2 linked regions of the Anolis sagrei genome follow. The protein of the gene in region 2 purifies or fractionates together with the protein of the main gene of each other region. This does not show direct contact. Links are inferred from orthologs where the notes say so. Each region holds a gene or a part of one and is shown on either strand. Other genes may lie near its edges. The genes, in order: DROSHA and SRPK1.

Region 1 (15,295 bases), about 95 Mb from region 2:
ACCTGGGGATCCAGGCTCAACGATGAGTCCAGGGTCACACCCAAGCTGCGAACCTGCGCCTTCAAGGGGAGTGCGACCCCGTCCAGCACAGGCTGTAACCCTATATCCCGTTCGGCCTTGCGACTGACCAGGAGTACCTCTGTCTTGTCTGGATTTAGTTTCAGTTTGTTCGCCCTCATCCAGACCGTTACAGCGGCCAGGCACCGGTTCAGGACCTCGACAGCCTCCTTAGTAGCAGGTGGGAAGGAGTGACAGAGTTGGAATACCATGAATAAAAAAGCACCAGTTATTTTTTTTTCCCTCTGGGGGGAAAATCTCTTTAAAAATCTCTCCGTTTGTCAAAGGCTGACCATAAAATCATTGCTGAAGTACCTAGAGAAGTGTACCCTCCAGGAAACTTTAGGTCCATGGACACATGCTGAAGGGCCTAGATATTTCTAGAGAAATTGAGAAAATTCAAATCCACTATTAATGAAATCCACAAATGTAGAGGGCCAGCTGTATAGACCAGTGTTTCTCAACTTTGGGGTCAGGACCACAGGGGGGGGGGGTTCAGAGGAGTTGCCTCTGGCCTTAGGAACCCCTTTGGCAGAAAAGGCTGAAGATCTCTCTGCTTGTCCTTCTCTTCCTTTTTGGAAACAGACAGTGAATCCGCCCACCAAAAGCCCTCCTCTGCTGTGATTGGACGGCCTCTCAGCCGGCCTCTCAGCCAAGGGTAGGGCTGTTCCTGAGACTCCAAGTGTGGAGGGGAGAGCAGACGTGGCACAGCAGCGTGATGCAGGCAAGGGAAAGCATGCAAGGCTAGAGGGAGGCTCACACCAATGAGTCCCTTCAAGATATGTGGGTTCTGTGTGGGAAGTTTGGCCCAATTCTATCATTGGTACAATTCAGAATGCTCTTTAATTATAGGTGAACTATAAATCCGATCAACTGTAACTCCCAAATGTCAAGATCTATTTTCCCCCAACTCCACCAGTTTTCACATTTGGGCATATTGAGTATTGGTCCAGATATAGCATTGTTAGAGTCCACAGTGATATCTGGATGTAGGTGAACTACAATTCCAAAACTCAAGGTCAATGCCCACCAAACCCTTCCAGTATTTTCTGTTGGTCATAGGAGTTCTCTGTGTCAAGTTTGGTTCAATTCCATTATCGGTGGAGTTCAGAATGCTCCCTGATTGTAGGTTAACTATAAATCCCAGCAACTAACTCCCAAATGACAAAATTATCCCCCCCCCCCCCCCCCGCAACTCCACCAGTATTCGAATTTGGGCATATCGGGTATTTATGACAAATTCAGTCCCATGAATGAAAATACATCCTGCATATCAGATATTTACAATGCAATTCATAACAGTAGCAAAATTACAGTTATGAAGTAGCAATGAGAATAATGTTATGGTTGGGGTTCACCACAACATGATGAACTGTATTAAGGGGTTGCGGCATTAGGAAGGTTGAGAAACACTGCTCTAGGTCCATCGACACATGCTGTAGGGCCTAGAATTCCTATTGAAAATGTATTATTCAAATTCACTAATAATGAAATTCACAAATATGGAGGGCCAACTGTATAGAACAGTGGTTCCCAACCTTTTTTTTTTGACCAGGGACCTCTCTCCAACATTAGTGTCAAAAGGGTTATGAATCAGTTTATGGTCAACTTTAGATTCAGTTTGATTATTTGGGATGTTGAAAACTGCATTGGATAGACCACATCAGCTCTAGTTTCTGATACAGAACATACGCCATTCAGTAGTCGTCATCTGCTCACCCACAGAAAACTATATTTAATAAGCCTCGGCACTATAAGAGGGTTTTGTAAGGCCAGTCGTCCTCATTGCAACAGTGTAGTAATGGTGATGCCGCACACCAATTTTAGTTCTTGAGAATCACTTGTGGTTCACGGACCTCAGGTTGGGAACCATTGGCATAGACATACAACCACAGATACGCTGAGTATTGTATATATTCCTTTGTCATGTCCTGGTTAATGTTAAGAGCTTTACTGTTCTAAGGCAAATACTTCTTAGAGGGAGACGCTTTATATCTCCTTTGGTAATCACCTTCCAGATTTTAAAAACTTGATTCAGGTACTTAGTTTCTAAGAACAAGAGTCAGAAAAAGCTCCACTTCAAATCACATGCACAGGGAAGTGATTGGAATCAAATAAATTGATTTTTTAAAAAGAGGGATGTCTTAAAGTGGTGCTGGAAAAAAGGCACTCAGAGAACATAAAAAGGAAGGCAGGCCTCAGAAATGAGTGTTGAAAAACTTTTATAAAATGCCCAATGTGAGCGAACAAAGTTGTTCCGCTATAATACAAGCATTGCATTACTAAGAGTATTCAATACTGTACATCTCCCCACCACCACTACATTCATGAGCCTTATGGATTTTTTTTCCGCTCGACAATCTCCGTGGAGCCACCAACTCACTTAGATGGCCTTAGGGTAGCCATTCTTTTCTCTTCAAAAAGATAGCTACGTTAATCTGCTTTAGGATTAAAAGATACAAAAGAATCCAATAGCGTATTTGAGACTAATGGAAAAGAAGACATTTCTAATATCTCTTACTGTGAACACTGCCTACTTCATCAAATGTATCTGACAAAAACGGACTGTATCCACAAAAGCTATACTTGAAATGGCTTCTTCAGGCGGTTTTGATAGTCTCAAAGGTGCTTCTGGATTCCTTTGTGACTTTGATTCTTTTCTTGTGACAGTACTTCCATTTGGGGATCATGACACTGACTGTGTCCAGCTAAAATAAGAACCCTTGCAATGTTTCTGATCCCAGTGAGAACCCCAATGCACTACAAGATATAAAAAAATCTTTCATGTTGAAAGGAAGGGTTCTTCGTGCAAGATCAGGCCTTTTTCTTGGAGATACATTCAAACAGGAAACACAAGTCTCGCTAAAAGTGAAAAATAAAATCTCAGAGCAAATAAAACAACAGTTCTTGTCTAGAGGGATGGTCCTAACTCGTTGGACGTTCACCTTCCAAGAAAGAAAGAAAGAAAGACATCCTGAAAATGGGTTTAGCTCGGAAAGAAAGAAAGAAATAATCCTGAAAATGGGGTTAAATCAGATCATATCACTTCTTATTTTGACTAGAGAGTGTACCAACTTTTTTTTCTTCCAATCTGTTCAATTGCTAAGGAACCACAACAGCAAAAAACATAAACATAAACATGAACTGATTGGTATTAGCAATAATAATAACAATAATTGCAACAACATAGCCTCAGCTGTTGCAAGAAAATCACACAGACGGACTACAAACAAAGGCACAACTCTGTCGCCCAAATAATTCACTGGAATTTACGTCACAAGTACAACCTACCAGCAAAGGTTGTAGAAAATGAACATACAGAAATACTGTGGGAGTTTCAAATCCAGACTGACAAAGTTTTCGAACACAATACACCAGACATCACGATTGTGGAAAAGAAAAAAATTGGATTATTGATGTCGCCATACCAGGTGACAGTCACATTGAGGAAAAACAACAGGAAAAACTCAGCCGTTATCAGGATCTCAAAATCGAACTGCAAAGGCTCTGGCATAAACCAGTACAGGTGGTCCCAGTGGTCATTGGTGCACTGCGTGCCATGCCAAAAGATCTCAGCCAGCATTTGGAAACAATAAACATTGGCAAAATCATGATCTGTCAACTCCAAAAGGCCACCTTGCTTGGATCTCCACAAATCATTTGAAAATACACCACACAGTCCTAGATGCTTGGGAAGTGTTCAACTTGTGATTTTGTGATATGAAATCCAGCATATAGATCTCGTTTGCTGTAATATACTATGTTTTTGTGTCAGTAAAATAATAACAATATTTTAGTTATCAGCTTCTCTTAAGTGTGTAAGTCCCTAACAATGGCAACTATATGAATTTCATGGAGTTTCCTCAGGCAATACTCACAGGTTTTAAGTGATCCTTTCTCTGAAATATAGCCTACAGAACTTGGTATTCATTGGAAATCTCTGTTCAAAGTGCTAACCAGGGCTGTTAAGCTTCCAAGATCAGACAGGATCTGGCACATTTAGGATACTTGGGCCCACTATATCAGCGGTTCCCAACCTGTGGTCCGTGGACCACCAGTGGTCCCCAAGAACGAAAATATGGTCTGTGGCATCACCATGACTACACCATTGCTTCGAAAACATGCGGCAAACGAGAGCGACTGGTCTCTCAAAACCCTCTTATCATGCCAAGGCAACAAGGCTGTCAGGAGGGGAGAGGCTGACTACCCATGAAAGATTAGTACTACCACACCAGCTTATGAAATATGGTTTTCTGTGGTTGAGCAGATGGCGACTACTGGATGGCAAACTTTCTGTATCAGAAGCTAGAGCTGCTGTGCTCTATCCAATGCAATTTTCAGCACCCCAAATAACTAAACCAAATGTAAAGTTGACCAACAACCAATTCCTAACCCTTTTGGTACTAATATTGGAAAGTGGTCCCTGGTCAATGTGGTCCTTGGTCAAAAAAAATGGTTGGGAACCACTGATCTACACAGTAGAATTAATGCACTCTGGCACCACTTTTAACTGACACATCTCAATGCTTCGCTGGCCAACATTTTGGTGCCTTGAATGTTAGCCCTGTTTCTGCGTATATTTGATCTTCTAGTTCCAAAAAATGGCACCAGTTTTCTCTTATCATCACCCACCAGTCGCCATCTGTTCACCCACAGAAAATCATATCTAAGAAACCGGAGCTTATGCAGTCTACCCAATCCAATTTTCTGAACCCTATAACTCCAGGAACAGACCTAAAAGCCAAGAGAACAAGAATTTATTATGGCTGTGTTGTGGGAGTTGTTGTTTACTGGAACATCAACACTCTTTGCCAGAGAAGGCCAAGGGTTTTGTAAAAGCTCTATAGCAGGCATGGGCAAACTTTGGCTCTTCAGGTGTTTTCAACTTCAACTCCCACCATTCCTAACAGCCTACCAGCATTATCACAGAGTGTCTGCGCCCTACACCACTGGAGAAATTACACTGTTTAGCTGGTATTGCACCACCTGACATCCGCCAGGAAGTAGCAGCCAATAGTGAAAGGACCAAGGCAGAGGCAAAAAGGTGAAGACCTGGATGTTTGTGCAGGCGTTTGAGTAATTTAGTGCAATCTGGTAATGGAACATAGGAATGGAACAATGGACGACGAACCTGGACTACGCTTGGATGATGAGAAGATTGGGTACGGTTGTTTTTTGTAATAATTGTGCATTGTAATTGCTTATTGGTAATTTATGGATAATGTGTTAAGTCAATTGTTATATGCTGTATGGAACCACTGCTGTTTCTACTGTTTTTACTGTTTGTGAACCGCCGTGAGTCGCCTTCGGGCTTGAGATACAGCGGTATATAAGCAAAGTAAATAAATAAATAATAAATCTCCAGCTCATCCCTTGTTTGGGTATCAGCCAGCAAGTCAACGACTTAAATCAAGAAATAGTTTTCTAAGATCTACAGAGACACTCGGTGGAACACCTCAGCAAGCGAGAGTCCAAAAGTGGCAGGCTCAAACCCAGAACCTCAATCAATGGCTGATACCAAATGAGAGACTCCCACCTGGGCACACAGAAAACTGGGCGACTTGGAAGGCGCTGAACAGACTGCGCTCTGGCACCACGAGATGCAGAGCCAATCTTAAGAAATGGGGCTACAAAGTGGAATCCACGACATGCGAGTGTGGAGAAGAGCAAACCACTGACCACCTGCTGCAATGCAACCTGAGCCCAGCCACATGCACAATGGAGGACCTCCTTGCGGCAACGCCAGAGGCACTCCAAGTGGCCAGATACTGGTCAAAGGACATTTAATCAACTACCAAGCTTGCAAACTTTGTGTTTTGTCTGTCTATTTGTTAGTTTGTTTGTTTGTTAAAAAAGGCACCGCAACTGTTCGGTCTGCTCCTGACAAGATGAATAAAAATGTGAAGTCATATAATCCAGTTCAAAGAGGATAATGTGGATTATCCAATTTGGTAATCTGGATAATATAGCAGTGCAGAAGGGGCCTCAATGTTATGGGAATAAGGAGGGATCCTGGGAGTTGTAGTTTTGCAAGTTCTTTAGAGTCTTTCCTGCCAAAGAGTGCTGGAGGAAGGGAAGGGGACATCATCTCGGATTTTATAATCATAGGCCCTTTCCACGCAGCTCTATATGGCAGTGTGGACTCAGTTCAAAGCAGATATTGTGGGATTGTCTGCCTTGATAATCTGGGCTCCACAGCAGTGTGGAAGGGCCCGGGGAGGAAGGCATCCACAGCAAAGGAGCTCTGCCTTTGTAGAATGAATGCAGCCATGCAGAATTGGGTTTGGCAAGAGTGTGGACGGCAAACCCCAGGACAGCATGGAGCCAAGCTGCGTGCAGTCTACAGCAGAGATCTGGAGGAAGAAGCTTACCTAGAATCCGGGCTGGCGGAGGGGGGAAAGGGCGGGAGAGCCCCGGAAGAGGAAAGGGCCGGAGGAAGACATCAGAGGGGAAGACGCCTTGGGCAGCCCTGTGTTTGTGCCTCTTGCAAAGGGAGGGAAGCGGCATCGGCGCCCTTTGTTGGCCTCTTCCCTCTTCCCTCCGGCGGCTTGAGGTCCATGGCTCCGCCTCCTGCTCCTCCTCCTCCTCGCTTTCCCACCATGCCTGCCGCCTGTGTCACCTCGAGAGGCTTCCCCCCGGAAGGCTGCCGGCGCCCGGGCCTTGGAACGTTACCGGCCGCAGCGTTCGGTTTTGGGTCTTCGAGCGTTCGAGATGAGCGGCGAGGAGGAGGAAGAAGGCGGGGCGGGGAGCTCGCGGAGGCTCTACACAGCGCTGCCGGTCTGGGTGGTGGAGGACCATCACGACGTAAGCACTGCGCGACTGCTTACTGCAAGCGGAATGAGGGCCCTTTGACCCCACTTCTGACTTCAGCAGTGACTCAGGGGGCATCCACACCGCTTCAGCTGCCATGGAGATGGTTGTCACTTGACAAGCTACTGTTTCCCAAAAGAATGCTATGATACCTCACTGTTAGGATCTCATCACACTAGAGAATGATTCCACTTTAAATCTGGTTGCTACCTCCTCCTGACTCCTGAAGAATTCTGGGATTTGTAGTTTAGGGAGGACTCTTTAACAGCATCACTAAACTACAAACCCCAGAATTCTGCAGGAGGCAGAAACCGGATTTAGAGGGGATTCATTGGGCAGGAGGTGGTTGCTTATTATTTATTTGTTTGTTTGTTTGTTTATTTTGTCGTATCAGGAGTGACTTGAGAAACTGCATGATTTTATACATGTGTCCAAAGTTCTATTCTTTGTTTAATTATGGTGTTTATGATTTAATTAATATAAAATGATGCAGCTTGAGAATTTTGCTTGAAAATCTCTAGTGTGGGAGAATTGGCTGTCTGCAAGGACGTTGCTCAAGGGACGCCCGGATGTTTTTGATGTTTTACCATCCTTGTCAGAGGCTTCTCTCATGTCGCCACATGAGAAGCTGGAGCTGATAGAGGGAGCTCATCCACACTCTCCCCTGATTCGAATCTACAACCTGTAGGTCTTCAGTCCAGCCGGCACAGGGGTTTAACCCACTGTGCCACCAGAGGTGGTAATAGTAAGATAGCTGGGTCTGGAAGCTCCGTGCAAGATGCCGCATCGCTCCTTCAGGAGCGCTGTTTGCGCAAGAAAGACTTAGCTAATGTAAGCCAGGCCGGAGGCAGATAATATAGAAGGAATGTAAGAGTTCTTTAATGGTGAAACTCTAACTCTGAACCGTACCGGAAGTCTAAGCCCAAACCCTAACTCTGAACCATACCATAAGCCTAAACCATTACCCTAACCCAAACCCCTTACCCTAACCCTGAACCATATCATAAGCCTAAGCCTAAACTCTTAACCTAACCCTAACCCCTTGCCCTAACCCTTACCCAAACCCTGAACCATACCGTAAGACTAAGCCTAACCTCTTACCCAAACCCTAAGCCTAACCTCTTACGCTAAACCTTACCCAAACCCTAACCCTGAACCATACCGTAAGCCTTAGCCTAACCCCTTATCCAAACCCTTACCATAACCCTAAGCCTTATCCTAACCCTTATCCTAACCCTTACGCTAACCCAAACCCCAAACCCTGCTCTAACCCTTACCCTAAGCGTCCCCTCCTTTCTATCCTTCCTTCGCTCTCCCTGCTCTCACTCCACCCCCTCTCTTCCCTTTTCCCCACCCGTCTTTGTGGCATCTCCGTAATGCTGGGAGCTTCCAGACCCAGCTATCATACTATCACCAAGTTCTTTAATGGTGAAACCCTAACAGCAGCATAAGTCTAAGCCCTTACTCTAATCCTTACGCAAACCCAAAACCTTACCCTAACCCTAAACCATACCCTAACTGAAACCTCTAACCTTACTATAACCCTAACCCAAACCCTAAACCTTGTCCTAAACCTTACCCAAAGCATCCCCTCCTTTCTATCCTTACTTCTCTCTCCCCATTCTCACTCCTGCCCCCCCCTTCCCTTATTCACACTCACCTTTGTGGCATCTCCGTAATGCTCGGAGCTTCCGGATCCAGCTATCATACTATCACCCAGGCGGCTTAGCACAGCTGGTAAATCACCAGCAACTATAAGATCTGTTAACCCAAAGGTTGCAAGTTCAAAGCCTCAGGTCGGTGTGAGCGGTCGACTGTCAGCCTAGCTCACTGTTTACCTAAGCAGTTCAGAAACAGCTTTCGGTGTAATTAGAGAAATTAGGTACTGCTAAAAGTGGGGGAGGTGTTTTACGGTGCCATAAGGAAAGAATATTAGAAAATGCTGGGCAACCAAAGAGGAAGGAGGAAGTTCTGACAGCTCTTTGTCATAGCAAATGGAGCAACAGCACCCCCTGTGGTTGGACTCACTTTTCTTGGCACCAAAAACAGCTGGACACTGAGTCGATAACACCTCCTTTCTGTTCTGTCTGTTTGTGTATTGAATATTTGCCATGTATGTGTGCTGTGATCCGCCATGAGTCCCCTTCGGAGTGAGAAGGGCGGAATATAAATAAAGTGTTGTTATTATTCTTTCTCTAGTGTGATGAAGTAGCAAATCCCAGGATTCCATAGTGTTGAGCCATAACAGTGGTGTCAACTATTATTTAATTAGGGATGTGCGATCCATTAAAAAAAATGGCTCAAAAGTCATTACAAAACTGGCATTTCGTTTCTAAAGTGTTTCCAAAGTATTCTTACTGGGGAAAAATCGTTACTATAACGTGAGTAACGGAATTTCATTTCTTTTCCGTTACTGTAATTGCATGTAATTACTCAAATTGGAGAAAGTTCATGGGCTCCTATCTCCCTCATTTTTAAAGCTAATGGAATGAAACGTGCTGCCGTGGCAGAACATATTTGGCACTGTTAGCTCACCAAATTTCAGAAGGTTTCACTCATCTATGGATTTTTGGGGAATTTTCAAAGTTTTTATAAACAACTTAAAAAAACCACAAGAGCAATCTGCTTGAATTTTCTGTACAATGACACAAGATAATAGGTGATGGTTCCCCACAACTTTCAGAAATATTCATACATCTACTGTTTTTTGGGAATTAAAAAAAAAGTTTTGACATTTTCAACCATTCATTGGAACTTTAGGGCAGGGCCCTTTGAATCCATCTCCTACAAAATCCAGTGTAAATACTTCACGTTGTTGCTAACAAATTTGTGGACATTGGTGGCATTCAGCAACTTTTTTATTGGGAGTTGCTCTTTATGTGTAACAATGTGTAGGAATAGGCTGCAGTAAGGTTATAGTAAGGCCCCTTCCACATACCTGGATAAAATCCCACATTTTTTTATTTGAACTGGAATATGTGGCACTGTGGACTCAGATAACCCAGTTCAAAGCAGACATTGTGGGATTTTCTGCTTTGATATTCTGGGTTATATGGTTGTGCGAAAGGGCCCTAAGAATTCCTAGGGTGCATTTACACTGCGTAGTTATTCCAGTTTGACACCATTTTAACTGCCATGGCACAATGCTATGGAATCCTGTAGATTGTGAGGCACCAGGACTCCAACCAAAGACCATTTGAAATGATACATGGCAGTTAAAATGGTGTCAAACTGGGTTGATCTATATAAATAAAAATGTAATGTTCATTTGTGGGATTAACATAACTCAAAAACCACTGGACGAATTGACACCAAATTTGGACACAATACACCTATCAGGCCAATGAGTGACCATCACTAATTAAAAACACTGAAAAACACAGCAGAAGAGACTTAAAATGCCAAAAAACAACAACATTACAACGCATGCGCAAAACCATATATATATGCACACACACACACACATATATGCAAACACATACATATACACATATACACACACACAAAACACATATACACAGACTGGGCTGTAAAAATGCACGCTGAGTTACCTCTTGTGGTGGTGGGTAGCTCACATGTCTGCAAGGTGGCAAACCCACTTGAGGTTTCAGCTAGTTTTAATGGGGCTCTCCAAGTGACTTAATATATTTTATGCAAGGTTCAGCACATTGGATAGTTGCCTTAAAGGTTAGTTTAATGCCTGAAGTGAATTCACTATCTCACTGTCATGTTGAGCTGGTGGCCGGTTGCTCTTCTCAATTGACTCCCTCTTTCTCAATAACAGTTTATCATAGAATCATAGAGTTGGAAGAGACACCAAGAGCCATCCATTCCAACATCTATGTAGACACACCCAATCAAAGCAGTCCCAACAGATGGCCACCCAGCGTCTTGTTCAAAAACCTCCAGAAGAGGAGAGTCTACCACACTCTGAAGCAATATATTCCACTAACAGCTCTTCCTAATATTTAGGTGGAATCTCTTTCAGTTTGAATGCATTGCTTCATATCTGGGACACTGAAATATAAGCTGGCTCTAACTTCAACATGACACCTTTTCAAATATTTAGACTTGGTTGTTATGTCATCCCTTAACCTTTCCTTCTCCAGGCTAAATATATCCAACTCTGTATAAGTCACTCCAAATGGTGCTCGGCTTCCAGACCTTTTGCTATTTTGATCACACTTCTCTGGACACATTCTAGCTTGTCAATATCCTTTTTGATGCCCAAAACTGCACACAGTATTTTAGGCGAGGTATGATCAGAGGCAACATGGCTTCCCCCAAATTTCGACACTATGCTCCTATTGATGCAGCCTAGAATTGCATTGGCTTTTTAAGCTGCTGCTTCTTCACACTATTGCCTCATATTCAGCTTGTGGTCTACTAAGACTCCAATATCTTTTTTACATGTACTGTTGTAAAGCCAGGTGTTTTTTTCTGCATAAGCATAGTACTATACAATTCTTCCTGTTGGAATGTTTGGTTGATTTTTGGCCCAGCTCTCTATAATCTGTCTTTGCCTCGATTTAAATGCTTGTGTATCATTGTTATTTTAGGTTCTTCCTTTCATTTACCGAGGCATTGGTTCGAAGCACCTTCCTGCCTGCAACATCAGCTTTGTCCATTTGGATTCTCACCCAGATCTTCTCATCCCAGTGAATATGCCTGCAGACACAGTGTTTGACAAAGAAGCTCTGTTTAGGTAGGATCCTGTGATCTGATTGTTCATACACTAGATTTTTATGCATACAGGAAGTAAAGAGTGTGGTTTCCTTTGCCTTTGATGTCTTGCTTCATTTCTGGACCAACCCAACATCACAGAATTATAATGTAATATTTTAAGTTTTACGCTCATGATACAAATATTAAATTATATATATATATATATATATATATATATATATATATATATATATATAATATTATATTATATTATATTATATTATATTATATTCATATGTGTTTGCATTTGCCTTATTTTTAAATTCTACTAGCTTGGGTACCTAGCATTGTCCGGATTATTTGAAAAGGTCAAATTTTAAATTACACAAAATACATAAGGTTGTGGGTGAACTACAACTTAAATCATGCCAGGTTAACCCAAAAACACTCTATCAGTACTTAAAGTTATGTTGGGCAGTTTTGCTCTGGATGCATCATTGGTGGGGTTCAGTGTACTCTTTGGCTGTAGGGTAAACTACAACTCCCACTATGGTGAATCATTCCCCTCAAATCCCTCCAGTAGGTTGAGTTAGTCATAGGGGTTCTGTGTACTAAGTTTGGTCCAAATCCATCATTGTTTGGGTTCATAGTGTGCTTTGGATGTAGGTGAACTACAACTTCTATAGATTCCCTCCAAAGACCTCCAGTATTTTTTGTTTGGTCATGGGGACTCTATGTGCCAAGTTAGTTCCAGGTTCATTGTTGGTGGAGTTCAGAGTGCTCTTAGATTGCAGGTGAACTATACATCTCAGTACCTTCAATTCCTATAAATTATGGTTAATTCTCCCCAAACCTCGCTAGTACATTCAGTTGCTGATCAATTCCTCTGTTTGCTGTGTGCCATAGAAAAGAATAGAAAACCCATGGCAGTTAAAGTAAAGCCAAACCATTAATTCTACAGTGTAGATTCACCCTTAGATTGCTGATCACAAAAGTTTCAATTTTTTTCCTACTGTTTGCTCATGTACTTGTCCCACATTTATTGTATACTCGTATTTCCCACATTTATTGTATACTCATATTGTATACTGGCCTTTGCTTTTGAGATGTGCAAATGTATTGTGACGATGTGATATGCCAGCCCATGTCTTTTGACAGCAGCATTCCTTTCAGTGCATGCAACCTTGTGTTCTTTTACAGTGAGCTAAGTATTGAGAACTGGATCATGCCTGCTGTTTATGCTGGCCATTTTTCACAAGTGATATGGTTACATCCAGTGTGGGCTCAACAAATTGAAGAAGGGACCCATCATTTTTTAGTGGGTAAAGACACTTCCACCACAACAATCAGGTAAATATGTGTTTGCCTTATTATTATTATTATTATTATTATCATCATCATCATCATCATCATCATTATTTATATCCCGCCACCATCTCCTTTAATGGACTCGGGACAGCTTACAAGGCACTCAGGGTACAGCATACGCCTAGCAGAGTGCAAAGAGTTAGATCTGATGTGTGTTTCGCTATTCTTGTCTGCTTCCATTTTCTCATAAATGTTTTCTAACTAATTTTAGTAGAACTGCTAGCTCGTTTTCCCACCTCAGGCCACACATTACTGTATTTTGCTCATTTCACTTGTACAGTTCTATGTGTGCTCACTCAGTAATAAGTCATCCTAACAGAGCTTACTCCTAAGTAAGTGTTATAGTTCTATTCCATTTTCCCTCCATCGAGCAAATAAAGCAAGTGGGTTTTTAAAAAGATGCTTCTTCTGCCTTTTTTCATTATGATCCCAGGGTGAATAATTACAACTTAGCTTATTTATTTATTTATTTATTTATTTTGCCGTATTTATGTACCGCCTTTCTCAGCCCAAAGGTGACTCAAGACGATTTACAGTCAGCACAATTTGATGCCGCCAACAACATAAAATATTTATTTATTATTATTTATTTAGCAATTTTGTATACCAGTCTTCTCCCCTCTATCGGTGGATTCGGGCCAGTTTCCAACAATAAAATCACATAGTAATAATTAAAAGCATCATATAATATATTCAATTAAAATGTTATAACAGCAAAATGCAACCACATAATAACTATGGTCAGTCGTCATAGTGAATTCATTGTCCATCATTCATCGTCATCTATCCAATCACAGAAATATTGATTCACTCGTCGAAAGCCAAACCCCATAGCCAGGTTTTCACCCGTTTTCTGAATGACAGAATGGAGGGGACAGTTCTGATCTCCAGTGGGAGAGAGTTCCAGAGTCGAGGGGCCACCACTGAGAAGGCCCTGTCCCTCGTCCCCACCAGATGCGCCTGAGAGGCCGGTGGGACCGAGAGCACGATCTTAACAACCTAGATGGTTCATAGGGAAGAATACGTTCGGACAGGTAAACAGGGCCGGAGTCGTTTAGGGCTTTATAGGTTAACACCAGCACTTTGAATTGTGCTCAGAAGCTAATTGGCAGCCAGTGGAGCTGGCGCAACAGAGGAGTAGTATGCTCCCTGTACCCTGCTCGTGTTAGCATTCTGGCTGCTGCACCTTGGACTAGATGGAGCTTCCGGGCAGTCTTCATAGGCAACCCCACGTAGAGAGTGTTGCAGTAATCTAAATGGGATGTAACGAAAGCGTGGACCACCGTGGCCAAGTCAGACTTCCCAAGGTACGGGCGCAGCTGGCGCACAAGTTTTAATTGTGCAAAAGCTCCCCTGACCACCGCTGAAACCTGGGGCTCTAGGCTCAACGATGAGTCCAGGATCACTCCCAAATACAATTTTAAAACATTTAGCAAATAATATAAAAACCATACAAAACCAATAAAAACATAAATCCTTAGCATCTCCTTACTAAAATCATTTTCCGATTCATATAATCCAGTCATTCCATAGATCTATATTTGCCTAATGATAACAAGTCAATCAAATAGCAATATATAATGGAATTATAATAAATTTATTATTTTATTTACTATATTTCTACCCCGCTTTTCTCACCCCGAAACGGACTCAAACTGGCTTACAGGTATGCCAAGATTCAATGCCACATTACACATATAAATAACAAAGGAACACGTGGAGTAATTTTCACAGTGAAATTAATAAGGTTCTTTATGAAGCAACAGAAACAGCCCCTTTTGAAGCAGAAACTCTTCATTGCTTCAGATAGAAAACAAAACAAGATTGTCTGTTCTAACAAGTCTTATCTGGGGATATGGCTACTAAGAGGAGATCAAAATGTGGCCATTGCCTCCCAAGTAAGAGTTCTACTACACTCATAAATACTCAAATTTCATTCATCAAAGTAGTGGTTTGAACTAAGAAACAGAGCCAAGTGACCAAGGGCATTCAGGCACAGCAAATTCAATAATTCTGGTTGTGAATGGTTTTTGATGTCCCACTCTTTTCAATGCTAGAATAAAGGGAATGAAGGAATATTTCCATTTCCAAAGGGTCAATGCTCTTATTAGCATTAATAAGTATTAAAGCATTTTAATACCTTGCATCTGTTCTTGAAATATGTGCCATCCATGCTAAGATATATTTTTATTCCAGGGTCACAAGCTCTGACAATTATTTCCTTTCTGACGGGCTCTATGTCCCTGCTGATCAGCTTGAAAATGAGAAGTCTTTGCATCTGAGCGTCCGCCTGGTGAATCCTTCCAGATCTTCAGACAGCCAGGAAGAAAGCCATCCTCTGTCGTCAGCAAAGAAGCTCAAGTTGAGTGAGCCCAGTACAGCAAACGCCAACGTT
Region 2 (15,152 bases):
GAGGCAGAATGCCAGCGACAGTGGAAGAAAAGGATAGCAGACACTACAGACAGATAAGTATATTCAGTACATTAAGGTACTGAATGTTTATTAAGAGTTACTGATTTCTGTGAGCTGGCTCTATGTGAACAAAATTCAACCCACTTTTCAGAGGTAAAAGTCACCTTCACTGTTTACACTTTTAAATACAAGCCAAAATCATATGCATATTACTACAGTTTTTGCAGGGGCCTAGGGGCCAAACATATGCCATAAAGCTGAACGCCATTTCTATAATTTGTATGGATCTTATCTCAGGAGAATGGTAAGATATAAAAAAGTAATACAATAAAAATAGAGAATTGATTCGTAGTACCAACCAGTAAAAGGAGAATGAGTCACAATGACAGGCGGCAGACTCCTCCACATCACACATCTATCCCTATATCACTGTCTACACCTCTAGTATCTGCCCAGTGTCTACCACATAACTGCAGTGCCTAGCTCAACTACAGAACAGGGCTGTGGCTTGCTGGGAGCTGTCAAGGTTTTGCATTCTTCTTCCTCTAAAGTCTGGCCAAAGAGTTATGCTTCTATAAAGGTGTAAAAAAAAGGATGGTGTTCAGGAAAGTGTCTATAAAATGCAATGCACCACTGTGTCAAACTAACTCCTTTCATTTCAGGGTTCAAGCAAATGATACCTCACAATGACTTAGCTGTTGATACCTCACAATGACTTTATTGTATTAGTTAGGTCATCTAGGAATTATGATTAAGAATGTTTGAATGTTATATGCTTCACATAAGCTTCTGGTTGACCCAGGCTCTTTGGAAGAAAGGAGGTCACAGGGGTAAAAAAAAATATTTTTTTTAATTCTATTGCAAGGGAAGATACTACAGAGGAATGAGAAAGAACAACAAGTGTGCATAGTGCATGATTTGCAGTGTTTTAGGAGGGGGTGGTGCCCTATGGCTAATGTACACATGTGTTCACAGCCAATAAGAAATAAAGGGAACATATATTACTGCTATAGTTAACTATTCAACATTATTTTGTTCACCACCTGTAAAACTATACCAAATACAAATAAATCTAAGTATATGGAGGATGGGCAACTAACTAACAGGAAACAGCATGAATTCAGGCTAACAACCGAACACACATATTTTCAAAAATCATTGTCTGTTTGTGTCTCATTAGGCTATCTGAAGGTATATATATATAACAATACAAATTATGCATGAGCATTAACTGCTAGAGAATACCAGGCTAAAAGGCAGTGCAAGTATTTTGCAGGAATCATAGGTTGTAGTTCCATAAATAAACACATTCTGCCTGTATTGTTAATGTTACGAACGAGTTGGAGTCCTTCTCTTTGCAGATAATCTTTTCTAACAAAGATCTTGTCTAATGCAACATATGTTTTTTGCAACTTACCAATAACCTTTTGATTGGTTATGAGAAATATTCTGAGGCATAGGTGACTGACAAAAGTTGTCTCTTTTCAGAAAACAGATGACCAATACTGAAGTATGTAGGGGCAAGCAAATTATAAATATTCTATATATGGTTTGCATGTTTATGTTCAAGCCTGCACTACTTGTTTAGATCTTTCTATGTATCTCCTCATCACTGCACTTGAGAAGGTTTTCAATAAATCACTGACAGCTCTATATATGTACTAACAATGGTCATTGCTAAAAATCCATAAAAGGAAGCGGTTTTCTCAAAGTTTGTGCTTGCTATGAACAAAGGATCATTTCAATCAACTCTAGACAATTATCGTCTTTCCCAACACAAGCAGCAACTCTGATACCAAAGATCAACCTGGGCAGTTAATGGATGAGGTATGAGGATGTAAAGTTAAGACTCCAGTTTACCAGAATAGCATACTATACATATGCCAACACTAAGAAGAAATGGGGCTTCGTCATACCTTATAGGATTTCATAATGCAGGGAACAGTATGTTGTAAGACTTCTAAAATCATGTTACAGCACAATTCAGATTTCTATGGTTGTTTTGTTATTCTGTGTAAAAGGACAACTCTAGCTATCTTAAGATTCTAAAACTGCTTGGTGTTACCCATCACTATTGTCTTGACATTTAGACAAGAATAGGAACATTTTTACTCTCCTAAGAACATGATTCAAAAGTATAATTCCCAGAAAGTTGTGCCTATCTTACTTTGTCTAAGCATGTTATAAAAGTCACTCAACTCAACCTACTATATCAATTTGAAAATATTTTTGCAGTGTATAATTACTGTAAGTGAATTTGCAGTCAATAAATTCCTTTAGGGCAGGTATGGACAATTTGAAAAGTCTGGGGGACATTTTCCATTCTGCATCTAACTTACTATTGGAATCACGAAAGTCCTAATGTTTGTGCAAATTTGTGCAAATTCTGAAGAGGGGGGAGGAAGTGGAAATACTAAAAAAGATATTTAAAAAAGGAAAGTCACTTTGTTACTATACATTATCTACAACCTGGTCTGGGATAAAAAAAAATACCATGCTTTAATAGTTCATACACCATTCTAAAAGAAAGGTTCTCATAATCTATTTCCAAATTTTCCAAGGAAACATGGTTTTTAAAGAAAGCAACTGCAAATTTTCCATTTTTCCCCAGGCCTTCACATCTGTAAGCATGGCCAGCCAGTCACAAAAATTGGTAAGGGGGCGGAAGCAAGATGCTAGCACAACTCTTGTTTTAGAGAGATGAAGGCTTCCAGAGGTGCAATCTTTATTTTCAAGGCCCCATAATGAAAGGACTGCAACAGTGATATTCAAAATGTATGTGACCTAAGAACCATGTAATTCCCTTAATCAAGGGTGTGTGAAAATCTTGAGCACAAAAGCTAGTTTCTATTATATTGAAGAGCTTTGGAAGCTTCAAGTTCAATTTCCAAATGCTGCTATCTTACTCAACATCTTTTTTTTGATCACAACACTCTATTGTCCTGTCTGTAAAAGTTCAAACCAAGGCAGAATCAAACATTTTGGATTTTAGGGATCTTAATGTTAACAAATTTTGCAGGAAAAATGATGCAGATTGCATTCAACAAATGTCAACTTTTGTAGGAGTCAGAGGAGAAATCCGTAATGTGGATTACTTCCCTTACAACCCAGAACTAGGCAAGAACCATCTGTAACATTTGAACTCTTCATCTGCCCCTTCAATTTTCCTTCAAGAGGCAAGCAAAGAACTAGGTTCTTTAAACAGACATAACAAGTAAATACAAATTCTACTTATCTACCCTAGTAGTTAATTGTAAGTAACCATCAATCTGAAGATTTATCAACACTAGCCATCACAAAAAAAGAATAATTGAATTTGAGCCACATTCCAGCCAGTGGGAGAAGTTACCCTATCGTGTACTTGGTCCATCGCACTATTAGAAAGGATGAACAGGACTAGATTATCAATTCAGTTAACCCAGACCAATCCCAAAAGCAAATACCAGAGTAGTAAAATACTTTGTATTCAAATCAAGGGCAAGACATGTTTTTCTTTCTGTCTTTGTCAGAGATGGGTGGATTCTCTTTTGTCTTTCACTTTAGAAGAGTCTGAATTCAACTGTGTAGATCTGCTGGTGGAATAAGAGGGGATCCAGCAAGGGACAATACCTTCCCATTCCTATGTAGCCTCCAAAAATCCTCACTATCTGCTCTGGAGAGCTGGAAAGAAGGATTGTTGGGAAAATGGGAGGAATCTAATGCCTACTGCTTTCAGTGGAGCTATTAAAGAGGACTGCAAGTTTCATGAAGCAAACCCTGTGCTATATTGCACTAACAGGAACATACTTGTGTTTAGAAATTACTGCAAATAAGGAACTGTCAATCACTGGAAATGCTACATTTTAGCAACCAACAATTAGGTCAATGGTGAATTAGTAACATTATTTGGGACATGGATAGGGCATTCAGGTGATTTTGGTAAATAAAAGTTAACATTCAAAAAATAAAAATTTTACAAATAAAAAATGTGGAGTATTTTATTGTCAAATCTGTGTGTTAGTTCCAATAATAGGGTTAAAAACAGAAAGGATAGGTATCTCCTGAAATATTTAAAGTAATTTCTTCTTCAGGGAGTGCTTGTGGTCTTTTCAATTGTATTCTGTTACAGAGAAACCGTGCCTATTATTTATTTATTTGCTTTATTTTCCAACAAAGGTAGATGTTCAGATCCTGATGCACAAACTAGTATTTACAAAGGTTTAAGATATAAGTTCCACAACTCTCTTATTATGACGGAAGGTAAATCATACAGTTTGACCCCACTTTTACTCCCATGGCTCAATGCTATAGATTCATGGGAGTTGTACTTTTAGCCAAAGAATATTGTTGCCTCCCCAAACTATAAATCCTTGGATCCACAAAACTGAACCATGGCAGTACATTTAAAAAAGACCTCCCATTACTTCAAACTGTACCATCTTGTCCTGGTTTGAAAAACAGGTGGAGAAAGTGGTTACACTTACTTTCTTTGGGCCTTTTCTTTCTTAGCTTTGGTCCTCTTCTTCCGGGCTTGCAAAGCTAGAACTGGGAAGACATGAAAGAATAAAAGAGTCAAGTAATCTCCACTGTGGAAAGAGAAATAATAATTATACTCATCAGAGTTACTCTGCTTTAAGAGCGGCCCTTTCTTCCCAATGAAGCAGCATGAAGTCAGGCAAACCCAACTGGAGACATGCACACTTTTTACCAAAATCTTTAAATCCCACTAAATAGAAGTTGGGCATCTCTCATCCAGAATTCCAAAATGCATCCATATGGGTGGCTGAGATAGTGACACCTTTGAATGCATCTACATTATAGGGTTAAACAGTTTGACATCACGTTCACTGCCATGGTTCAATGCTATGGAATCCTGGGATTTGTAGTTTGGTGAGCATCAGCATTCTGTGGCACAGAAGATAATAGGACTCGGGATGGTTTAAACACAAAAAAGGCAATCATTCAATGCCTAGGTAAGTGCAAACACATCAAAAACAATACAGAATAGTGCACAGTAACAACAGTAAACTTATAATAGAAAAATTAAACATTGGAATGAAAAGACAATAGACTAAAACATGAGTAAACATTAAAATATATACCCCAAAACGCAGTTAAAATATATTACATTAAAAATAGCTAACCCAAGTGTTCATTTAAGACAGTGGTTCTCAACTTCTTTTTGACCAGGGACCACTCTCCAACATTAGTACCAAAAGGGCTACGAATCGGTTTTTGGTCAACTTTCGATTCATTTGGTTATTTGAGCTTCTGATTCAGAAAACTGCACTGGATAGACCAAATCAACTCTAGTTTCTGATATAGAACATTTGCCATCTTCTCACGCACAGAAAACCATATTTAATAACGAGGTGGTAGTAGTAATCTTTCATATTTAATAGTGTGGTAGTAGTAATCTTTTTTGGGTAGTCAGCCTCTCCCTTCTCGACATTCCCATTGCCTTGTCACTATAAGAGGGTTTCGCGAGACCAGTCACTCTAGTTACTACATGGTTTTGAGGCTACAGTGTAATAATGATGAGGCTGCAGAACATATTTTCGTTCTTACAGACCACTGGTAGTCCACAGACCACAGGTTGGGAACCACTGATTTAAGATGTATCGTAGCAGCCATATGGTACTAATGGCTAGAAGACTAGAGAACCTATAAAACTACAGAATTATATAGCATTCAGCCATGGCTGTTAGGTGGTGTCAGTCTGTATTAATACCACAGTGTACACCAACTTTGTTTTATGCACAAAAATATTGCATAAAATTACCTTCAGGCTCTATATATGAAAACATCATTGAATTTCGCATTTAAACCTGAGACTCATCTCCAATTTTATTCATTTATCTCATTTATATCCCGCCCTTCTCACCCGGAAGGGGACCCAGGACAGCTTACAACAAAGGCACAATTCAATGTCTTGAATACATACAGAAATAAAACATCTAATTTAAAATCACATCATTAAAAACATATCAATTAAATAATTACTTAAAATCACACCATTAAAAAACATATACCAGGAGCCACTCCAATTGTCATTACTGCACTGAAACTTTTATTGTTGCACTAGGAATCACTGTGCAAATGCTTGGTCCCATAACCAGGATTTAACTTTCTTCCTGAAGGTCAGGAGGGAGGGGGCTGATCTAATTTCTCTGGGGAGGGAGTTCCACAGCCGAGTGGCTATCACCATGAAGGCCCTGTCTCCCGCCCCCACCAGTCACACCTGCGAAGGGGGTGGGATCAAAAGCACTACCTCCCCAGACAATCTTAACCTCCGAGATGGTTTATGGAGGGAGAAACATTCGGACAGTAACCTGGGCCAGAACAACTTAGGACTTTATAGGTAAAAGCCAATATTTCAAATTGTTAATAAATTAATTATTAAAACATCAATTTAAAAATTGCCCAAATTCAAAATCATAATCCAAGGTCAGTCCATTGTCAGCCACATAAAATCACTCTCACTCTTGCTGCTGCATCTACTGCTTGAATACTTGGTCCCACAACCATGTTTTTAAGTTGTTTTTTCCCCTAAAGAACAGGCCTGATTTCACTGGGAAGGGAGTTGGTAATAGTATGAAAGCTGAGTCCGGAAGCTCTGAGCCTTACGCTCTTTCCGCTTCGCTCCTTTGGGAATACTGTTTGCACAACACAGAATGGAATACAGATATTATAAAAGGAATATAGGAATTCTTTAATGGTAAAACCCTTACCCTTACCTAAACCCTAATACTAATCCTAACCAAAACCTTAAACCTAACCTCTAAGGCTAATCCTAACCCTTACCCTACCCCAAACCCTAAACCTTACCCTAAACTTTATTCCTCCTTTCTATCCTTCCACCAAATTGAAGTATATTCCCCCCCCCCTCAGTGTGCCGCTCTCCCCTTCCCGTATTCACAACCGCTGTTGCGGAATGTGCGTAACGCTCGGAGCTTCCGGACCCAGCTATCATACTATCACCAGGGAGTTCCACAGATGAGGGGCCACCACTGAGAAGGTCCTGTCTCTCGTCTCCACCAGCCACACTTGCGAGGGGGTGGGATTGAGAGCAGGGCCTCCCCACACTGTCTTAACCTCTGAGACGGTTCATTCTGTATGTATACACAAATATAGGTATTCCAAAACCCATCCAGTCCAATCCAACAAACAAATAAATAAATGAAATCAAAATCTGGCCGAACTTATTATGTATATATAGAAATGCAAGTATCTCAAAATCCACAAATAAAATAAAAACAAAACAATACATTCCAAACCCTTCTGGTCCCCTGCGTTTCAGATAAAAGGATAAGTAATAATAGCCTACGTGGAAGCATGCTGTTATGCCACCCTCTCGAGGATCTGCGCCAAGCCTCAGGTGCCCGAAAGGCAGGCCTAAAACTGTTAACTCCCAGGGAGAGCTCTGAAGGAAAAGGCACGGAGGAGAAAACGGAAAACCCGTTCCTGCGGCTACTGGCCCGAGGGCCACGAAAAGCAGAGCCAAAGAGGGCGAAGGCCCAGCATTGGGGGGGGGGGGTGGAGGAAGAGGGGCGCCTCGCCACCCGGAGAAGCTCGCCCAGACTCACCTTTCCGCTCCATGGCGGCCAGTGATGGAGGTCCCCCGGTCCCCCCTTCGCGCGTGCGCTCTAAAGAGGCCCCTTGCGCCTGCGCAAGGAGAGGGCGGGCGGGCCGGCGCGTGCGCACGGCTGGGATCTTCGCGCGCCGCTGCGCGCGCCACCAGATCTCCTCGCCGCGGTTGCTGTCACTTCCTTCCGAGCTGGGGCTGCTAGGGGGGAGGAGGAGGGGCCCCCTCCATGGCTCTTCCGAGCGGCTGGCGCACCGCCCCCTGCTCTGCATGAATGCCAGGAGGTGGATCCACGCGTCGGGCGCCTCCCCCGACTCCCCTTGGCCCATGGGCGGAGCGCATGCGCGGTCTGCCTCGGCCCCGACGGCTCTCCCCGCTCGAGGAGAAGCCGGGGTTTGGTGGGGACGGGGAGGCCGGGAAAGGTCAAAACTGGGGCCACGTCAGGTGCCGCCGCCGCTGGGATTGTGACGTCCTCGCCGCCTGGCCGGTTCTGCCTGCGGGAGAGTTTGGAAGCCATTTGGGGCTGGACGCCTACGAGGAAGTGGGCCCGGCTTCCATGCATTAGTCCCGGTTGTGAGCGCCCCGAGACAGCAGGAGGCGCAGGGGTTCGGAGCAAACTGAACTAGCCCTGCATACCTCCACACTGTAGCGTTTGCACAGTTTGACACCACTTTAGCTACCTCTGTGGACGGCTATGGAGCCCTGGGATGTGTAGTTTAGAGAGGCATCAGCAGAGAAGGCTAAAGACCACGTGATGGCACGCCGGGATGAAAGGAAAACTATATAGCTGGCTATGCCCGGTGGCTATCGGTATACCCTCTGATGTACTTCAGTTCTTTAAAAATAAAGACTCTTGAGACAGGAATAAAGTTAACCAGATAAGTTTACTTGAAACAAAAGGCAAAGTCAGAGTTCTTGAAAGGCGAATCAAAGTAAAATATTACGAAGAGAAAGGGTTGTTGTAGGTTTTTTTGGAATATATGGCCATGGTCTAGAGGCATTTTCTCCTGACGTTTCACCAGCATCTATGGCAAGCATCCTCAGAGGTAGTGAGGTCTGTTGGAAGTAGGAAAAAGGGTTTATATATCTGTGGAATGACCAGGGTGGGGCAAAGAACTCTTGTCTGTTGGAGCTAGGTGTGAATGTTTCAACTGACCACCTTGATTAGCATTTGATGGCCCGGCAGTGCCTGGGGCAAACTTTTGTTGAGAGGTGATTAGATGTGCCTGATTGTTTCCCTTCTGTTGTTTTGCTCTGTTGTTTTCAGTGCTGGATCTACATTTCCTAGTACTAGTTGACCACCAGCTTACCACTGCATAGAGCAGTGGTTCTCAACCTGTGGGTCCCCAGGTGTTTTGGCCTACAACTCCCCGAAATCCCAGCCAGTTTACCAGCTTTTAGGATTTCTGGGAGTTGAAGGCCAAAACATCTGGGGACCCACAGATTGAGAACCACTGATCTATAGGATGTTATATGAACTTCAGCTATTGAGTTGTTCATATATTGTGCATGAATTTGAACTTTATGTATGCTACTGAAATAAAGCATTATTTTAGTGAATATATGGTTTTCATTTGAAAATAGAAATAAACACTAGATGCCACCTGTTCTGGCAATTTTCAAGAATTGACACAGGTACAAATATATACCAATGTATGATATCCATGGTTCCTAAAAGCAAACCCCAGACGTTGCTTTGGGCCTTGATCAAGAGAGAAAACTAGGGAATAAATTGTTAGAGTGCGTTCTGTGGTTAAATGATTAGTGATCTGGATTTAAGGAGCAAACACACCAATTGTTTGGAAAAAGGAAATGTAAGCTTTATTGTAAGAACGCCATTCTAAGACAGGAAGGTTACTCAGTGAATCTAATTTAACCTAGATACACCTTGGAAGGTTGAGAGAGGACTCATGGAAAGAAGAGGCGGAGAAACTTAGGGTGCTTCAACACAGAATATCAAGGCAGAGTAACCCACAACATCTGCTTTGAACTGGGTTATCTGAGTCCACACTGCCAGTTCAAAGCAGATAATGTGGAATTTTATTCAGCTATGTGGAAGGGGCCTAAGAGTATCGGTTAGGGGTTCAAATAGTTATGCAAAAGAGGGAGGACTCCTCCAGTCACTCAAACTATCTAACCCTATTATTACTGCCCACAGTGAGGCATTCTTCATTCTTCAGTGCTAAACATTGTTGCATTTCCAACAGAGATGACGATGATGATGATGATAGGTCCAATGTACTGGCAACATGGATCTCATAAAAAGATGAAAAACAGCAAATAATGATAATGATAATTTTATTTCTTACCCCCCTCTCCTCGAGGTAGGTTACAGAATAATTAAGACACATAAACATTATAAAAATACCACAAATACACATATTAAAATGTATCTCTAACCCTAACCCTTAACCAATTTGAACAAATAATACAGAAGGGAAGGGTTGTAAAAGAGCATGAAAATTTGAGAGGAATAACTAGTAAAATATATAAGATAATAATTGAAATAAAGGAAGGAAATACAAATAATAACATCCTTAAAGAGGTTTGGGAAGAAGATTTAGGGATAAAAATAAACGAAACAGAGTGGCAACAATTATGGGGACAAAGACATTTAAAAAACTTATCAATACGGGTTAAAGAAAATTATTATAAGCTAATATGGAAGTGGTATCTAACATCAGTAAGAATAGCATATATAAATAAAAATAATTCAAAAAATTGTTGGAGCGGGTGTCAAAAACCAGGAACATACATACATATGTGGTGGCAATGTAAATATGTAAATAATTTTTGGGAGAAAGTATTTAGAGAAATAGAAGATATAATGAATATGAAAATTGAGAAAAGTCCTAGTATAGCCTTATTATCACTATATAACAACAAACAATTGAACAAGGAGGATAAAGAAGTGATAAACTTATTAACAATAGCAAGACTGCTCATAGCAAGGAACTGGAAAAAAGAAATAAATATACAAATAGAGGAGTGGTACAAGGAAGCATGGAAATTGGCAATAAATAATAAGCTGACATGTATATTAAAAGTTAAAAAAGTATATGGAAACAAAGTGATTTTGATGTTGTATGGGGTAAATTTGTTGTAAATGGTTTAAAAAACAAGGAAGGTTACCGCCACAAGAAGAAATGAGATTTTGGACAGATGATATGTAAAAGTTGTGGCTTGAAATGGGGGGAGGGGAGCACAGTGGTGGGGGGAAAAAAGGGGGAAAATGCTTAAGCAGAAGAAAAAGATTATATGTTAAAGAGGGTGTTGAATAATATGTAACTGCTATAAACAAATGTATAATAAATGTAATAATTATGATAAAGTAATAAAAATATTTAAAAAATAAAAAATAAAATGTATATCTATAAAAAGATACATATTAAAATTTATTTCTATAAAATGTGTATTAAAATGCAAAAAAACACAACCCAGATTAAACAAAGGACATTAAAATTCATGTTTAAAAGCTGTTTTTATAAAAGCATCTTGGTTGAGTGACAGCAACAAAAAAATTGCCAGACTATACCAGATGCATAATTCTTAGGTGTAAAAATAATATCCCATGAGATTAGCATAAACACAAGGACTGCGAGAGAAAGTTGCACCATCTAGTTGAAGAATTGGCAGGAAAGCCACAAATGTAATCTTGGATTTCCCAGGGTGCACCTTCTACACTGTAGAATGAATTGCAGTTTGGCACCACTTCAACTGCTGTGGGGTCCAGGGAGCTGTAGTTTGACAAGAGCTTTAGCCTCCTCTGCCAAAGAGTGTGTATGCCTTGCCAAAGTACAACTTCCAGGATTCTGTGCCATTGAGCCAGGGCAGGTAAAAGTGGTGTCAAACCGCATTCCTATAGCAGGCATGGGCAAACTTTGGCCCTCCAGGTGTTTTGGACTTCAACTCCCACAATTCTTAACAGCCTACAACCTTGTTGGTCAGGAATTTTGGATATGACATCTGTTTACTGGTTGACTCATAAATTAGTGGCAAAGGAAATTATACTTGTTCAGGCCTTGGTTGTGGGATTATGTGTTTGTAATTGTTTTGTAATTGTTTTGTGTTCTGTTTACACTGTAATGTGTTAATATATGTAAATTTAATTAAAAAAAAGCAATTGTGGGAGTTGAAGTCCTAAACACCAGGAAGGTCAAAGTTTGTCCATCCCTGTTCTACAGTGTAGAGCAGCGTTTCTCAACCTGGGGATCGGGGCCCCTGGGGGGGATCACGAGGGGGTATTGGAGGGGCTGCGAAAGACCATGTGGGGGGGGGGGGGTTCAGAATGCTCTTTGATTGTAGGTAAACTATAAATCCCAGCAACTACAACTCCAAAATGTCAAGGTCTATTTTACCTAAACTCCACTAGTATTCACATTTGGGCATATTGAGTATTTGTACCAAGTTTGGTCCAGATCTATCAACGTTTGAGTCCACAGTGCTCTCTGGATGTAGCTGAACTACAACTCCTAAACTCAAGGTCAATGCCGACCAAGCCCTTCCAGTATTTTCTGTTGGTCATGCGAGTTCTGTGTTTCAAGTTTGGTTCAATTCCATCGTTGGTGGAGTTCAGAATGCTTTTTGGTAGATGAACTAAAATCCCAGCAATTACTATTCCCAAATGGCAAAAATCAACCCCCCCCCCCCCCCCTCCAAGCCCCACCAGTATTCAAATTTGGGCATATTGGGTATTTGTGCCAGATTTGGTCCAGTGAATGAAAATACATCCTACATATCAGATATTTACACGACGATTCATAACAGTAGCAACATTACAGTTATGAAGTAGCAGATGACGTCCAAATCTGTCACTCCTTCCCACCCCGTTACTAAGGAGGCTGTTCAGCTACTGAACCAGTGCTTGGCCACTGTGTTGGACTGGATGAGGGCTAACAAATTGAAATTGAATCCTGACAAGACAGAGGTCAGTCAAAAGGCCGAACAGGGCATAGGGTTACATCCTGTGTTGGATGGGGTTACACTCCCCCTGAAGACGCAGGTTCGCAGCTTGGGAGTGATCCTGGATTCATTGCTGAGCCTGGAACCCCAGGTTTCAGCGGTGGCCAGGGGAGCTTTTGCACAGTTAAAGCTTGTGTGCCAGCTGCGCCCGTACTTTGGGAAGTCTGATCTGGCAATAGTTGTCCACGCTCTTGTTACATCCCGAACTGATTACTGCAACACATTCTACACGGGGCTGCCTTTGAAGCCTGTTCGGAAACTTCAACTAGTCCACCGGGCTGCAGCCAGATTACTAACTGGAGCGACATACAGGGAGCACACCACCCCCTTGTTGTGCCAGCTCCATTGGCTGCCGATACACTTCCAAACTCAATTCAAAGTGCTGGTTTTGACCTATTAAGCTCTATGCAGTTTTGGCCCAACTTACTTGTCTGAACGCATCTCCCTCTATGTCCTGCTTTGCAGTTTAAGATCATCCGGGGAGACCCTGCTCTCGCTCCCGCCAGCATTACAAATACGTCTGGCAGGAATGAGAGACAGGGCCTCCTCGGCTGTAGCCCTCTGCCTGTGGAACTCGCTTCACAACGAGGTAGATCGGCTTCATCCCTCCTGTGTTTTAGCAAGAAATTGAAGTCGTGGTTTCCGAACCGTCTTCAAAGACATCCCCATGTAGAGTGCGTTGCAGTAATCTATTCGGGATGTGACCAGAGCGTGGACGACCATAGCCAGTTCAGACTTCCCAAGGTACGGGTGTAGCTGGCGCACAAGCTTTGACTATGCAAAAGTTGACGTGGCCACCGCCAAAACCTGGGGTTCCAGGCTCAGCAATGAATCCAGAACCACTCCCAAGCTCCGAACCTGTGCCTTCAGGGGGAGTGTAACCCCATCCAACTTTGGATATGGAATTTGACTGGAATGGTGATACGGTGGTTAATACTGTTTTTATTGTTTTATTTAATGTTCTATTTATGTTTTAATTGTTGTTATATTGCTTTGTTATATTTAATGGCATCACATTGTGCCAAATTTAAGTCATCCTGAGTCCCCCTTCAGGGGTTGAGAAGGATGGGGTAGAAATACTGGAAATCTATATATATATAAATGCTCTGTGCATAATGAGTACCTTAAAAACAAAAGAACCAGTGAACGAAATCACACCAAATTTGGCAACAAAACGTCTCACTATACAAGGAGTGGCCATCACTCAAAAAAATATTATTTTGTCATTTGGGAGTTGTAGTTGCTGGGATTTATAGTTAACCTATAATCAAAGAGCATTCTGAACTACATTAACGATGGAATTGAACCAAACTTGGCACACAGAACTCCATGACCAACAGAAAATATTGGAAGGGTTTGGTGGGCAGTGTCCTTTGGTTTTGGAGTTTTGTTTTTTTGTTGTTGTTGTTTTTTTTTTTTGTCGTGTCAGGAGCAAGTTGCTTCTCTTGTGAGAGAATTGGCTGTCTGCAAGGACGTTGCCCAGGGGACGCCTGGATGATTTGATGTTTTTATCATCCTTGTGGGAGGCTTCTCTCATGTCCCTGCATGAGGAGCTGGAGCTGATAGAGGGAGCTCAACCGCCTCTCCCTGGATTCGAACCTGCGACCTGTCGGTCTTCAGTCCTGCCGGCATAGGGGTTTAACCCACTGCGCCACCGGGGGCTCCTACTTTTGGAGTTGTAGTTCACCTACATCCAGAGATCACCGTGGACACAAGCAATGATGGATCTGGACCAAACTCTACATGAATACTCAATATGCCCAGATGTGAACACTGGTGGAGTTTGGGGGAAATAGAATCTTGACATTTGGGAGTTGTAGTTGCTGGGATTTATAGTTCACCTACAATCACAGAGCATTCTGAACCCCACCAACGATAGAATTGGGCCAAACCTCCCACACACAACCCCCATGTGGGCCACAGCAACGTGTGGCAGGGGACGGCTAGTAAGTAAATAAATAGCAACCAAAATAATTTTGTGATTGGGAGTCACCACAACAGGAGGAACTGTATTAAAGGGGTCCTGGACTAGAAAGGTAGAGAAACACTGGTGTAGAGAGAGAGAGAGAGAGAGACAGACCAGCTGGAGCTGTCACAAAATCTCATCCTTCCTGTTCTCAAGCTCCGCCTTCTTTCGCCTTTTCTTCTCGCTGCCTTCAGGCTCTCGCGAGACCTTCCCGCTGCTCCGCGGATTCCAGAGCGCTCCAGCTAGGTTCCATATTGGGGCATCTCGCTGGGAGTTTTTTTTTTTCCATCCATCTCCCGGAAGTCTCGCGAGACCTCCGCGATCGATTGGTTCTGGCATCTAAGGAAGAAGGGGAGGTCGGGAGAAGTCAGGCGCGGGCGAGTCCTCGTCGTTGCGGGGCTGAAGCGGGCTTCTTCCAGGGCGACCGCAAGCCTCCTTACGCTGAGGGGGGAAGGCTTTTTGCAGGGGGTGGGGTGAGGGGGTCCCTAAAAGCAGTTCCCAAGGAAAGAGGCGCCCCGTGTTTCCCCTGCAGCGGCACGAGGCGTCCGGGCCAGCTGAGGCGGCGGTTGGGCGCGCGCGCAGCACAGAGAGAGAGAGTGTGTGTGTGTGTGAGTGAGTGAGTGACGGAGAGACCCCTCCCCTTTCCCCCCTCCCCTCTGA

The links.
Region 1: the proteins of SRPK1 (region 2) and DROSHA purify together in Homo sapiens (affinity purification with mass spectrometry; 3 studies listed by BioGRID and IntAct, counting the BioPlex papers as one, with this or other methods). This does not show direct contact. The link is inferred for Anolis sagrei from reciprocal best matches to the Homo sapiens genes SRPK1 and DROSHA.

Annotation. Positions count from the first base shown.
Region 1 is NC_090024.1:91,650,350-91,665,644, reverse strand, and holds the start of DROSHA (ribonuclease 3), read right to left. Parts: upstream 6,626-15,295; 5' UTR 6,429-6,625; intron 1-6,428. Other genes in the region: C4H5orf22 (UPF0489 protein C5orf22 homolog), read left to right, coding at 6,769-6,861, 11,427-11,572, 12,733-12,882, 15,097-15,295. UniProt on the Homo sapiens protein: Ribonuclease III double-stranded (ds) RNA-specific endoribonuclease that is involved in the initial step of microRNA (miRNA) biogenesis.
Region 2 is NC_090024.1:186,294,055-186,309,206, forward strand, and holds the start of SRPK1 (SRSF protein kinase 1), read right to left. Parts: upstream 7,894-15,152; coding exon 7,566-7,893; intron 4,525-7,565; coding exon 4,464-4,524; intron 1-4,463. UniProt on the Homo sapiens protein: Serine/arginine-rich protein-specific kinase which specifically phosphorylates its substrates at serine residues located in regions rich in arginine/serine dipeptides, known as RS domains and is involved in the phosphorylation of SR splicing factors and the regulation of splicing.